Oreochromis niloticus: one gene and its partner. The protein of the gene in region 1 purifies or fractionates together with the protein of each later gene. This does not show direct contact. Links are inferred from orthologs where the notes say so. Each region holds a gene or a part of one and is shown in the gene's direction. Other genes may lie near its edges.

What was found. Proteins that work in one complex are often made in the same cells at the same time.
Region 2: the proteins of ddb2 (region 1) and cops8 purify together in Homo sapiens (affinity purification with mass spectrometry; 6 studies listed by BioGRID and IntAct, counting the BioPlex papers as one, with this or other methods). This does not show direct contact. The link is inferred for Oreochromis niloticus from reciprocal best matches to the Homo sapiens genes DDB2 and COPS8.

The regions. Positions count from the first base shown.
Region 1 is NC_031972.2:51,231,761-51,239,107, reverse strand, and holds the start of ddb2 (DNA damage-binding protein 2), read left to right. Parts: upstream 1-4,300; 5' UTR 4,301-4,303; coding exon 4,304-4,460; intron 4,461-4,552; exon of another isoform or gene 4,553-4,556; coding exon 4,557-4,691; intron 4,692-4,770; coding exon 4,771-4,880; intron 4,881-5,085; coding exon 5,086-5,277; intron 5,278-5,442; coding exon of another isoform or gene 5,443-5,588; intron 5,589-5,789; coding exon 5,790-5,956; intron 5,957-6,747; coding exon 6,748-6,847; intron 6,848-7,082; coding exon 7,083-7,260; intron 7,261-7,347. Other genes in the region: kinesin-like protein KIF23, read right to left, coding at 2,348-2,476, 3,486-3,552, 3,801-3,814.
Region 2 is NC_031987.2:7,710,823-7,718,447, reverse strand, and holds the start of cops8 (COP9 signalosome complex subunit 8), read left to right. Parts: upstream 1-4,565; 5' UTR 4,566-4,645; coding exon 4,646-4,717; intron 4,718-5,377; coding exon 5,378-5,448; intron 5,449-5,609; coding exon 5,610-5,658; intron 5,659-7,040; coding exon 7,041-7,173; intron 7,174-7,625. UniProt on the Homo sapiens protein: Component of the COP9 signalosome complex (CSN), a complex involved in various cellular and developmental processes.

The DNA.
Region 1 (7,347 bases):
GCAGGATTCACTGCACTGTTAATGTTAGCTATGTTATATTGCTGCCTCTGTTCGGTGGTGTCGAGCCAAACGGACTTTAACGTGTGTTTGAACGAGCTGACGGTTCACTCGTTAAGCTGAAAGAAAGATGCTTTAATCACAGGAGTCACACGTGTCCACTGGACCATCTGGGAACTCTTCTTGTTTAGCACTCGTAATAACACAAACACTTAATTTCTCCTTCTCTTGTGCTGTTTTGTAGCAGTGTGTACACCTGAGACTGTCACCTGCCTGTCTGTCCTGCACTCTCTCTCTTTTTCTTTCTCTCTGATTTTGCAATAAAAGTATGAACATGTATTTATAAGTTACACTTGTGTTTGAATCCTGCAGCTTATCACACATTTGATTTCCATGTGTGACAACTGCAAGTGTCCAGAGAGAGGACAGACTGAGGGACCCACTGCTGCACATCATCTGTGAGGCTTTGCACCCCTGATGATCCACCAGGACAAACTCAGCAGTGTGTGAGGAAGAGGAGGAGGAAGAGCCAGCAGCAGCTGACAGATGGAGAGAATAGACAGACTGTTCCCTGTTTGTGAAGGACTGCTAGAAAAGTTTAAAATAACTAATTGTCTGTCCTGAATCAGTCTTAGTAGGTAATGTTCAAATAATTTTATCATTCCAGTGTTTTCAGTGTGGGAGAAAGTACTCAGGGCCTTCAAGTTAAACACGATGAAAGGCAGAAACAAGTTTAATATTCAGAAACCTAAAGTATGTATCAGCAGCAGAATGGAGCTAAAAATAAATGTTTGTTTCAGTTCTATGAAGCTTTGAGTATTTTGGATTAGTAGTACTGCTGTGTTTGTTGCATCATATTGCTGTCATTGTTTATATGCTTTATATATTCTGAGGTAAGTTGATCTATAGTGTTACATGATATTCTATAAGGATGTTATGTGTTTGTATACTTTTTGCCCAGTTTGACCCATTTAGCAGAAGTCAGCCTGTTTAAGGCTCTAAGTCAGGGGTCCCCAATCTCAGTCCACGAGGGCCGGTGTCCCTGCAGGTTTTAGATGTGTCCTTGATCCATCACAGCTGATTTAAATGGATAAATTACCTCCTCAACATGTCTTGAAGTTCTCCAGAGGCCTGGTAATGAGCTAATCATGTGATTCAGGTGTGTTGACCCAGGGTGAGATCTAAAACCTGCAGGGACACTGGCCCTCGTGGACTGAGATTGGGGACCCCTGCTCTAAGTCATACAGAATAGATATCAAAGCAGTTATGACATGGTCTGATTTTCTCACCCAATAAAGGAATATTTTATATATCAGTCTACTCTTCATTTTATCAGAAACAGTTATCACAGCTCGTACATTTTCTTTTTATACATATATGTAAGCACTGAGCCAAATTTAGTAATGCCAACATACTGAAAGAACAATATTTGTCTCTTATATATAATACATCTATATATAACCTGTCAAAGATGCTTGTCTTTGAGTGAAGATTTAAGGTGATAGGAAATATAAATAACTGCAACTCGAATCTTTACTGAAGCTCAGTATTTGACACAGTTCAAACTCACTGCTGTAATAACTAATAATGATTAATATAATAACTATAATATTGGCCATATTATATTTACATTACCAAAGTGAGATGACTTTAGTCTCATGAACAACATAAGCTAATTGTTATTTACTAGCTAATCTTAAAATGACTGTTCAGTACAGATATGAGTGCCAACAATCATGTTTTACAATCCTGTGGTCTCAGCCTCAGATACATATCAAATCACACAAAGCTCATGTAGAAACAAATGAACAAAATATGTTCTCCTTCATTTCTGTCAAACAATGCTGTATGAAACTTTTCCAGCGGATAGTATCATGGTCGTTAAGGCTGCGTACTTTAAGGCTGCAGACCCTGAATTGGGATACAGCCATAGACACACCTAGTGGTGTGGAACAAAAAAAACTAAAAAAAAATGGTGGTCTTCAAGGCATTTGTAGCTATGAGAGGTGATAGCAAAAGTCACAACACACTGCGAAGTGTGCCCCCACCTGTCCAACATCACTACATCTCATGTAAAATTACACAGACAAGCATCAGGGCAAAACAGGCCCAGTCCTGGCACTCTATCAATGGAGGGAAAAAACAAACATGGAATAATTTGTTTTTAACAGTTGTAGAGTTTTATGACACAGGAGTAAGCTACGAAATTTCCAACGATGCAAACAATATTTATGACTGGATTCAGTTATTGTTGGTTTCAGTCTTTATGCAGCTTTTCCTGACAATAACAGAAACACACAATCTCTCTACCTTTAATCAATAACTACTCCTAACTTATCTGATTTCTTACCTCTTTGTATTCTCCATTGCGGTTTGTTTTGAAGCCCTCCGGGGTGTGCATCTGGATGGTGGTACTGCTGATCACCTCAATGCAGCATTCCTCATCCTCAGCACCCAGGGGTCGCACACGGCAGTATACCTGAAGAACAAAATGACACACATTAAAACAAGCTCTAACCATACATTTTGAGCTTGTTACTACTGCAAAGATATTTAATTTGTCCAAGAATATCTGATAAACGATTTAAAAAAAACAACAAAAAAAAAAAAACAACACCAAACAGACTTTGACATTCTTGGATGCAGTAGGATTATTGCTACCATTTGTTTCAGCTTATTGCCACTTGGTGAAACTTCTAAAGATACTTTTCTTAAGAAACTGAGCAGTCTTGTTATTCACAGACAGGGTCTTTAAACTGTTGCTTTTATTTTTTTTAAGAAAAAAAAAAAAGGGGGAATTTTGGTTGGCCCAAAAAACTGAGGCGAGATAGCAATCGAAACTTTTATTACTTCTTCTTTCTGTTACTCACTTTAGGGATCACCACAGCAGATCATCTACCTCCATCTCACCCTGTCATCACCCAGCATCAACTATGTCACACCTCACATCTTCTGCATGTCTTCATTCATTTCATCCATGGATCTTCTCCTTGCCTCCAAACAGCTCAACCTGAGCTGTCAGTCTGATGTACTCATTTCTATTCTTGGCCATTCTGGTCACTCTCAATGAAAATCTTAACATCTATAACTCTGCCAAGTGCCAACTCCAGCACTGCCTCCCATATTTTTTGTCAGTGCCAATGTCTCCAAACCATACATTATAGCAGTAAAACCTGCTATCTTCAAGTTTAAAACCTCAGTTAGATGGCAGTCAGGTGGCACGCCTCTCAATAAAACTCTTCCAGATCAAAAAGTCTAAATCTGTTGCCTTTGAGGAAGAAAACTGATGGCTGTAGAGCGAAACTGTGGGCTCACAGTCAGGTTGACGAGAAAGTGTCCAGAAGAATTTTCACTCTGTCAGTAAATTACTCCACTCTAGGTTCAAACACTCCCTCACTGGAATGTTTTCTCTTCCACCCACTGGAATGTATGAGATTCACATTTGTACTGTTTGCCGAGTTGACCTTTAAGAATTCAGGGACACTCACCCCAACTGGGTCCGTCTGGTTGCTGGAGGGTTTTTTTGGAGGAGGCCTGCGGGGGGTTTTACCCTTCCTGTAAAAGTAAATAAATACAAAGTCATTCACAATTCAAACAGAAGCGTAAGCGTTAGCCATTAATGACTATGTGATGGCTTAACAAAGCCACTTGCTAGACGGCTAATTAGCCCCCTGCTAACGGTAAAGCAGAGAGTCAACGTCCGCTCGTAACTCCTTAAACTTAAGTTCGCCATTTTGTGATAGTGTAAAACGCATAAACAATACAGCCTACCAGCGACATATAGAACATAAACATGTACTTACAGATGTCTCGTCATCGTAGCGTGGTGCCCGTGCTGGTTTCACCGTTTCTGTTTATCTAGTTTTGAATCTTCCCTCCGCCTCAAAGCCTCAAATCAGCGACTTTTTCAAAACGGACCCGAAGCAACCAATGGGATCTGGCAACGGCAAGCACGTGTTTCCGCCTTTACTTCCGAGCCTCTTACGCCTCAAAAAAAAAAAAAAAAAAAAAAAAGTTGGCAAATGCAGTAAAATATAATATACAAACTTGTTTCAGCCACTTTCATTCTTCATCTTCATAAATAGTCCTTGATGTCTGCTACCAGAGAAATGTAAATCCTTTCTTTGTTTTACACAATTCTTAAATACTTTATGAAAATTATTTAGTTTAATAATTTAACATGACATTGACATAACGTGACATTTTTTATTTATTTATCGCAATCTTCTGTGAGCATTTCGTTGCCGTTACCTTACTTTGCAGTTTGAGTTGTTTGAACTCCAAACATGGTGCACATTGAGTTTTCATGGTGGATCTACAGTGCCACCCACCGTTCACCAGCTTTAACAGACACAAGTTACAAAACAGACATTTTTCAGCACATAGTCACGTGTACTGTCGTGTTATGCAAACAGAGACGTTCTTGCTGTTAAACTGCAGCGTTAAAGCACTGAACATCGCAGGTAAGCAGCAATATGAACATTAGAGGTGCAGACAGGTGCACAATCGTCCGCTTTGTGACGAGTAACTGTTGCTTTGTGTGTGTGTTTACAAGGAAGAAATGAAAAGCAAGCCCACGAAGTCAGCCGCAGCTGGATCAAAGAATAAAGTGAAGAAAACACCTGAGGGGGTCTCCAGTCCAACTCTCTCCAGAAAACTACGAGACAAAAAAAATGGCGAAACGTCAAAATCAGGTATGAGGCTCTGAAAACACCGTCAGTCCAGTGACAGCACTGTCTTTGTGACACTTGAATGGGTTCGTGTGTCTTCTAGGGACTGCTCTCAAGTCTGCAGGAGTTCAGAAGAGAGGTTGGGACGGAAGCATACTGCACTATATCTACAAAAGCACTCTGGGCCAGAGTTTGCACTCACAGATGAGACAGGTAAGAGAGCCTAATGTGGTGCTGGCCCCAGTGCTGCCCAAAATACTCACACACTGTTCCAATAGTAATTAAAAAAAAAAAAAAAAAAAAAATCTAATCCAGGGACATGTGTAAGTTCACAAGTCATAGTCCATCTGTTACCTCTCGTTTCCTCTTACTGGATTTATTCAGTGCAGGTGTGAATCTAGCTCTTTTGTCTCCTCAGTGTCTCCAGGAACCTTTCGTTCGCTCTCTGTCATCCTATCATTTCCACGGTGGCAGCAGCCCCTTCGACCGCAGGATCACCTGTCTTGAGTGGCATCCGACACATCCTACTACTCTGGCTGTGGGGTCCAAGGGTGGAGACATTTATCTGTGGGACTTTGAGGCGCCTGCCAAGAAGACCTTTATTCAAGGGGTGAGTTCCTGTTTAATGGTTTTGATTTGTTCTTTCGATTGATCAAAAAGACATTCGGCAAACTGATTTTAACAGAGGTCAGATGCTTCTTCAGGCTGTGGTGAATTTCAGAGCGGTGCGATGTAGTTGTACTTAATGAAACACTGTTGTTGGCTCTCTGGTTAGATGGGGGCTGGAGACTCAGTGACAGACATGAAGTTTAACCACTTAAATCCCACTCAGCTGTTCACCTCATCTATGGGGGGTACGACAGCACTTCGGGATTTCAGTGGGACAACGCTAACAGTGTTTGCCAGCACAGAAACACTGAAGTAAGACTGGAGTGTCCACTTTTTTTTCTTCTGTGCACTAAAATAAAAAAGCGTTAGGGGTTAGTCTAGCATCAGTCTTCTTACAGAGAGTTCAGAGATCTCTCAAGGGAACTTGTTGGGTGCTGGTGTGAACATCTGTGTGGTAGTTGTAGTCATAACTGCTGCCTGGTGAAAGGCCTACATTTGTATTTGTGTGTGTAGAACGGAGCAGGAGACTTTATCGGAGGGATGAAGTTTTGCCCCACGGACCTTTCTAGAGTCTATGTGGCCTCTGGCGAGGGCACACTGACCGCACAGAGTTTTGAGGGCCGCGCACCCACCGTTTTGTCCAGAACTCAAGACTGCGGCCACGATCACCACAATGTTTGGTGAGAAACTCCCAAAGAAGACTGATGCTCGGCATTATGAAAAATGGAAAGTTTTTTCATTTCCCTCTACTGTGTCTGTAGGACTCCTGCTGCCACATTGTTTTAATAGCATTAAAAAGGTTTCGTATTTCTATTCCTATTTTATGAAATAAAATTTGTCAGGGCTATAATACAAAAAATGAATGCTATTTGAAATCTAGTAGGACACTGGAGGGCGCATCCTCGACCAAGGCCCATAACAGGCCATCTAATAGAAGGTGATCCAGATCTTCACCAGTATTTCAGTGTGTTCTTCCTTTGCCCATGTTCCCGTCTTAGAGCGCACACCTCCACCTTTCTTCTTCCCTTTAAAAGACTAGGACCAAAGAGAAGAGACACCATGCTCCAAATTTAACTACTGTCACGATTGTGGAAAAATGGTTCTACATTACTTCAGTAGAGACTGCTTCTACAATCTGTAGATTCAGGTGAAGAGTAACTGGGTCATGTCCTGCAAAAACCATTCTCTTTAATTCATTAAAAAAAATAAATGAAGTTTAATTCATCTCCATAGTTTCCAGTGTCAGACTCAATCCCTTTGTAGGCAGATTTCAAAAAGCATGACTATCTGCATGGGTAGACATCAGTAGAGGTAAATGAGAAAACACAGGTAGCTGAGAGCATTGTGCGTATATAATGTTATCTCTTGTTCAAGTGTCACATAGTATATTACATCCTATTTTGAATTAAAGCTATGATTTATGGAATACATTATTTTGTATGTTCTTATATGTAGCTCTTTTCTTTCATAGTTTTTGGTACTGCTGCGTTGACGTGTCTGTAAGCCGGCAGATGCTCGTGACAGGAGACAATGCGGGGCAGCTTTTACTTCTGGGTTTGGATGGCCAAAAGGTGTGTGCCTCTTTCTTAATGAGGACTTCCACTGTTTTTTTTATAAATTAAAGGATCAGTTATAGTTCTTATTTAACACAGAGCACTTTTTCTTTCGGCCCTTCCCTTTAGGGGTCGCCCAAGCCAATCATCTGCTTCCATACCACTCCTATTGTGCAAGTCTTCCTTTGCTACATCCAAAACCTCCTCTGTGGCAATTTAATGTTAATTGATTTGCTCTGTTTTAATGTTTCAGATTTTCAGTGACAAATTGCACAAAGCCAAAGTGACCCACGCAGAGTTCAACTCCCGATGCGACTGGTTGCTGGTGACGGCCTCAGTTGACCACACAGTAAAGCTCTGGGACTTGAGGAACATCAAGGACAAGAAAAGCTTCCTCTACGAAATGCCTCACGAGAAAGCCGTCAACTCAGGTAGCACTTCCTCATAGAAAAACCTCTCATGCTTACTACTTTAAAAAAAAAGAAAAAAAAAAAGAAACAATCAGTTTTCTAATTGTC
Region 2 (7,625 bases), on another chromosome or scaffold:
GAGACACTGATCAGCTTCAAACCTGGTCAACCCAGATCTTTCTGTTTGGACCTGTTAACTAGGGTAGACTATTTTATTTAAAGACTACATGAAAATACTCTGCAGGTTAGCACAAAATAAACAGGTCAGTTTGCTGTACTGTGATGGTTTTAAACAGAACAGAACACCAGTCACACACAATAGAACAGTGTGTGACTGGTGTACAGTGACTGTGGTGCGAGTTAGGTTACAATCAAGTTTAGCAGAGATGAATCTGAAATTAAGCTGATGATGTTTACATGATTCATACCAACTTTATACAATCTAGTATAAAGTTAGTATAAACGGTTCTCCATCCCCTACACTGACTGAAACATCTACGTACATGTTGTTGGATTGCGTACAACAAAATTGTCTACATCCACAAAGAGCAGTGAACCTCAGTGCATATCCATATCAGCTGATCACATGCTGTACACTAAGAAAATTCACCTATTGTGACCCACTTTTCCCCACACTGAGTGGCTACAACTGATGTTAGGGTTCCCCACCTGCTGAATCCCACTTTAACCTCCTCCCTACTCCCCTTTTCCCCTTCAGAGGTAAAGTCACCCTCTACAATGTAGACAACAGAAAATATAGATTTTTTTTAAGCTTCCTTCTTTTCCTTCTGATTCAAGCTGAGCATAACTAATATTAAAAATTAGTATTAGTAAAAATGTATTCCCATCTTCTAATATTCTTCTAATATCTAATCTTGTTAAAAAGGACACAATAAGGTAAGATTTGGAGAACATGAGACACCTGCATTCATTTTTGTTAAGTGAAAATAAGCAACCCAACAATTCCTCTCAGTGCATCCTTCTGCCCAAAGACAGTCATGCGTTCAGTGTCATTAAACTCTTACAATTCAGAGATCAAAGACCCATTTTCTCAGTTATTTATAGAAGCCTAGCAGCTCTTAGTTGTGGAACTAAAGCCATACAACATCACATCATTAACAGTGTTTTCTCTTACAGAAATCACAGAGTTATTTTTATAATAGGGTGTTTATCTCATGGTCCTGGATTTTCGTCGTAGGACTCCTTGGGAATTCTTCTGCCTTCAGGGTCTTTTTTTGTTTGGCTTTTTTGTTTTGTACTTGGTTTATTGTCTACATTTTGACTTTAATTTATCAGGACAATTTCTGTTATTATTACTGAGTCTAATTATCCCTCAGGGTTTTGATTTCTTTTTTAACTTATGGTCTTTATATTTTTCCAGTTCTACGTATTAATTATTTTGTTGTGTTCACTATTGTTGTCTGTGTTTTCACCATTTACGTGCTGTTTTTCCTCAACTTGAAATAAAAGGTCGTTTTGTGTTATTTCCGCCTGCCTTTTAGAGCCTGCATTTGGGTCCTCAATCTGCAAGACCTGACAGTTTATGAGGCTCTTAAGATGAGTTTTTTAAAATGTTTTCCCCATGTCAACATTTGATTGAGTCAGAGAGTCTCAATAATGTCTGGAGCTGAATCTTTCACGAATATAAAAAATTAGGAACATCAAAAGTCCTCATGAATTCCACTGATCCGGCACATGGGGATTTCTTCTCAGAGCTGAACACTGAGATACATTTAGAGAGGAGAAGCTAAGTAAATAAAATCTGTTTTTATTATTATTCTTTATATTCTATTCTATGTTATCCACACTTCAGAGAAAGAAGCTGTTCTGATGTCCTTTATGTGGTGGAATGTGATTCATTCATGTGTTTATGGGATTCTCTTTCAGCATTATTAAACTATTAACACCGCTGCTTTGCATTTCTTTGATCCTTTCCTTTGGCCTACACCATAACAGGGATTATGGTCCCTATATACTTTATTCATTTATTGAGGATGTGACAGGAGGGTCAAGGTAGCACATCTGAAAACAGTCTTCTAGGTTTATAATAAGTGGCTGCTGAGAACTGTAGTACTGTGACTGTAATGTAATAGGAAGGTCCAGTCTTATCTCATGGTGAAATTAGCAGAACATTAGATGAGACTTTTCATTCTTGCCAATGAAGATTTCAGAAAGTTACAGAAGGTAATTCAGACACAAATAGATTTTTTTTTAAATTTGTGTGCATTAAAGGAATTTTAAGAGAGCAAAGCATAGATGTAAAAGCAAGTTCAAAGTTGGTAAACAGGTAAGCAGGAGAATGAGAATCAATGTAAGACACAAATTAAATGTCTAACTTAACATCAATTCCTGGAAAGCAATAAATAAGTTCCAGCTCTTCTAAAACTCAATTTCAAGGGTATATCAAACTGCTTTCACATTACAAGATCGCATCGTAGTCATATTTCTACCCTGTATACCTCCAGTAGCTCTTTAAGTCTACCTGAAGCACATCTGGGATACCTCCTGACAATCAGGGACAATGCCAGATATCTGATATGCCTTCCATGAAGTTAAATCAACAAAAAGATTCCTAGAAATGTGATAATCTGTTTGCTGTTTTGATTTTCCACTCCCTCTCGTGTCAGGGTTGGGTCGGGCAGCTGAAAATCTGCCTGTGAGTGGAATCCCGTATTTCTGCTCTTCAGCTGTCATGCCTGTTGCTGACCACACCAACTCTACTCAGCTGCCTGCCCATGAGTTTGTTTGCTAGTGCAAAACAGATCAGTGTCCCCATTCCACACATCCTCCCCAGACCGTCTAACTAAGTAATCTCGCATACTCTCCATAAAACCCCCTGGAACAATTCTGTGGAACATGAAATGGAAATTGGTCCATATGCGTTGTTTTACAAGATTTCTATTATTTCCATAGAGATTAAAAAGAGCTTGTGAAGCTGATAAATTGATTAGTGCATGTTGTGTTCAGCAATGATAAAAACAAATATTTTGGAGGTTGTGACATTAAAAAAGAGTTTTAAAAATCTCAGATTTGTCAGTACAACTAGATTTTTTAAGTAATTCAAAAATGTTGTAATTAAAGTGTGAAAAAGATGTCTGAGGGGTGTTTTTTGTTTGTTTTTACACATTTAGTGTTCCTTAAGATTGCAAAATACCACCCTCAATGCAGATAAAAAAGTCAGAAGTTTGGAGAATGATAAATTTTCTATATCAACAGTAGAATATCTGTCAAAATAAAGAAAACACATGAGAGCTGTGTCTCAGTTGCCAAGCTAATTTTTTAGAGGTGGATGGGATAAAAAGGTATGTGTAGTCACCACCATCAAAGGCAAAGAAAAGATCAAAAGGAATTAAAATAGAGGAATGCCCACCACTGGCGGGAAGATCATTAGTGAATTAAGAGAAAAAAAGTATCTCTCAGCACTGGGAGTGTTTTAAAGAGTGATAGTTTCCCTGGTAGAAGTACCAATAAATCTAAACTTGCACGTATATCTTAACGTTGCCGAACCACAGCATTTAATAATAATGACAAGAACTTTTATATGAATAAAACTCATTAAACTCTAAATTTACTTAAAGAAACAATAGTTACTGCAAATATCTTTAACAACGAGTCAGACCTTCGTCTCAGATTAGCTGGCTCATTTGTTGTACATAGCTTGTAAGATTTTTCCCATTTATAATATATTTAAGCTCATTTGCAAGTATCACATTTTCAAAATCTAGTAAAAAGCTGTCATCATCTTTCTTTCATTGTCCACAAAAATCTTAGTATAGTTATGTGTTTGATGAACACTGTAGGAGTTTTCTCGATTATTTTTAAAGTGTTTTCCTCTTAATCTTTTGACCACACAAAAAGTGCATAAATGTGCTTATTTATTCCTGATATTAGCTTATTACTTACTGTTACAAGATTACACACACAACGCTCCTGTCTCTGCACAAGTGACAACAAGCCAGCAAAACAACACCTGGTTGTAAGCTAACATTATGGCTACTAATGTTAGGCTCCAGTGTTCTAAAAATCACACATATCCCTCTGATAAACAGTTTGATTGCATTGACTCCAGTCTTCCTCTGTGTAACTCAGACATGTTTGTCATACAGCTTTGGGGGAAAATGTATTAGGGCAGCTTTAGGGTGAAATTTGTTGCACTGACAGGTTTTTGCTCGTCACCAATGGCAAATATTTGTTTTTTAGTGAAAAAAAAAATGCTAGTTGTCATTTTTTCAGAATCCCACAGCTCTGAGTCTCCTCCAGCAGTGTCCAGGATCTCCATTTGGAAAAAAATGTGAGGCCATAGCATGTGATTCACATAGACATCAAACCATTCTATGACCCATTCTCATGCACTGTGTAAGGGTCATTGTCAGACTAGAAGAGACAACTTGTGTCATAACAAAACAAATTTGATCAATTAAAAGAACTTTTAATTATTAGGAGTGACCTTTCACATCCAAAGTATATCAGCAAAATTGTATACCCTCAGGATGCTCTCTGGATTTAGGGTTTAGATTTCTTTGATTTGTGAATGCAGACTTCCTTTTGACTTTTCTATTAAAATTATTTTTCTTCTTATATGTTCTCTCTTTTGTTTGGAGTTTATTTATCTATGCTTTATTTATGTTACTATTTTGGTTCAGTTGTATTTCACTGCAGTTTGCCTTACAGCCAGCCGAGGACGCCAGTGAGCACACACCCGACGTCGGACTCGTAATAATACGGCTAAGACACCAAAGAAGAAGAAGAAGCAGAAGTTTCCGGTGCAACAGCTAGGCATCATCATGCCTACTGCTGTGATTATGGAGGAAAATTTTGATAAATTATTAGAGCAGTGTGAAGCCCAAGAGCTCGAGGTAAGGACTTTGTGATCTTAAATATGAACAGGAAGGTCTCAGAGACTTTGTGGCTTTGAAAGCATGATGGGAACGGTGCGGTTTCTACAGATTTTAGGCTAGCGTACTGGCTACAAAACCTAGCCTGTGTGTAGCCTACCTTAAAGCTCTGGGAAATCAACTTATCAAACACGTTAACTCGTAGGCGAAACATTCTCACGTTAAAAATGAGATATAGGCTGTAGCAGCGTGTTCATGTTGGACTGCTCTTTGCTTGATCTTTGCCTTTACCTGCCAGCAGATAGTAGGAAGTTAGCGGTCATAATCTCTCCGTTAAATTGGAACATATCTGCAGGTTATGTGTTTGATTTAAGAACCTTTAAGTCTTACCTGTGTTGACAGTCTGTCTGTCTATCTGCCTGCCTGCATGCAGCTTTCGGACTGACAGTTTATAGTATAAGAATAAGTGAGCGAGACCACTACTGTAATGTTAGCAGGAGCTAAAACTATTAACTGGACGCTTGCTGTTGGCTGGGTGAACATCAGCGACTATTTTTTTTTTATTATGACAATAATAAGACAATAATAATAACCTGTTTTCTCTGAGAAGTAACATTTGTTCAGTTTTCCGCTTGTTTTAGCTCCAATGTTTAATCGCACACCTGCATTTCTTTGTAACAGGCTCCAGGGGGCATTGCAACACCTCAGGTCTACGCTCAGCTGCTGGCGCTCTATTTACTTAATAATGACATGTAAGTCACTGATATCTGATGTCTATGTATTTATGTTAAAAAATACATTTAAATGTATATTTTTGTCTCAGATTGCAGGCAGCTGAACTCAATTTAGTTGATGAGCCCCTTTTTGCTGCCTGTGCCTGTATCTGTATTATGAATGTGTGTTTTCCTAACAGGAATAATGCCAGGTATCTATGGAAGAGGATTCCCCAAGCAATAAAATCGGTAAGCTTGTTAAAACATGTGTAAACACTGCTAAAGAAATAACATTTGAGCATGTAAATGTGAACAGTAAATGCTGTTTACTTTAAAATCCAATGTTGGTTTTATTACATTTTTTAAACCTACTCATACTGTCATGTATACAGTTACTAGACACTTTGTAAGGTACACTTTGCTAGTACTGTATGGACCCTCTTTTGTCTTCAGAGCTGCCTTAATTCTTCGTGCCATAAATTCAACAAGGTGCTGGAAAAATTTCTTAGTGGTTTTAGAGGTTTTGGTCAATGTTGACATGAGGTCATCACACAGTGCAGATTTGTTGGGTGTTTATCGATGACAAATCTCCTGTTCTGCAACTAAAACGCTGTACTTGCTTAAGATATGGTGACTGTGGAGGCCATTGGATTTGCCTTCCTATCAGCTCAAATCAGTGTGACCATTCTCCTCTAAACTCTGTCATCAACAAGAAGTGGCACTCATTTGATATTTTCCTTTTTTCTGAAAATTCAGTGTAAATCCTAGAGATGTGGGGAAAAATCCCAGCAGATCAGAAGTTTCCTAAATACTCAGACCAGCCCATCTGACATCTCCAACCATGTCACGTTCAAAGTGTCTTGTGTTACCTTTCTTCCTCATTCGAATGCTCAATTTGAATAGCATTTTGTTAATGTCATGTGACTGGTTAATTTAATGAGAAAAGACAAACTTGTGGAGTGGAGAAGTCCTTTAATGACTGAGCAGCCAGATTTATCATAGCATGACAAAGGGATGGTACAAGGAGCCAATGGAGAGAGGCTAATATGGAATAAAGATTTCTTTTTCTAGTCTCTGTTTGCTTTGGAGGCTTTTCAGGGAGCTTTCAGAACAATCTGATAATAAGGAATTGTATTCCAGCTCCAGCTTAGAAGTTAGAAATGTATGGTCTGTGTTTTTCATCAGCTTTTTGCCATTGTGGTGCCTGCACCATATTTAATATTAAGGGCAAACATTTTTTACCACCCCGACACAACCAGTTTCATGTTTATAGAAAAGTTGCTCAACTGTACATGTAAGTAACTAAGAACACATGTAATTGGAATTTTTACTTGTGTGACAAAATGATCTTAAGTCCTGGCAGATCAATTTGCCCCACTGGAAAACTTTTTGGACCTGCTAAGACAACCAAGAGCACTATGAAATAAATGGAATTATGGTACTGCCAATCAAGTCATGACTTCTTGCAGAGTCCAAGAAAAGACAATTTAAGGATGATGGAACCATTATGATCCAACAGTCTTACATATATATTGGGGTGTGAATGCTCTTCACAGTAGCATTAAAACCACTGCCTGGTCAAGTGTTGCATTCTGATTGTGTTTGAAATGCTTCTCACTTGTTTCCTGCAGGCAAATCCTGAATTAGCAGCTATTTGGGCAGTGGGCCAGCGTATTTGGCAGAGAGACTTTCCAGGGATCTACACAGCCATTGCTGCTTATCAGTGGTCGGAGAATATTCTTCATGTCATGGAGGCCCTTAGAGGTAACCAAAAAATGTTAAAAACACCAGCTGACTTCTCGTGCATCACATTGACCTGTTAAAAAACTTTTCAGATTAATTATACTTCCACAAATTCTTTATCTAATATATAACTTTGGCTCTGTTGAAACTAGAAACTAAGGCAACATATTCTGTCAGCACGTTTAAGTGAGTTCAGTATTTTAAAAAAGTTTCCTAAATGATTTAGAATAACTGCCAGCAGGGGGCAACAGCTGAACCCAGTCAGGGCTATGATGCAACAAAGCAATGGGAAAATAAACAGAAACCCTCATGGTCATGAAGGGTACATCAGATATCCACAACAGAGTACTTGCATATTAAGAAGGTGGTTGCATACCTACATACTTTCGCCTGTTTTTCACATCACCTTCTCAACTTCAAAGGAATGATTTTCTAGAAACATCAGGTCATAAATTTATATCATCTGATCGTCA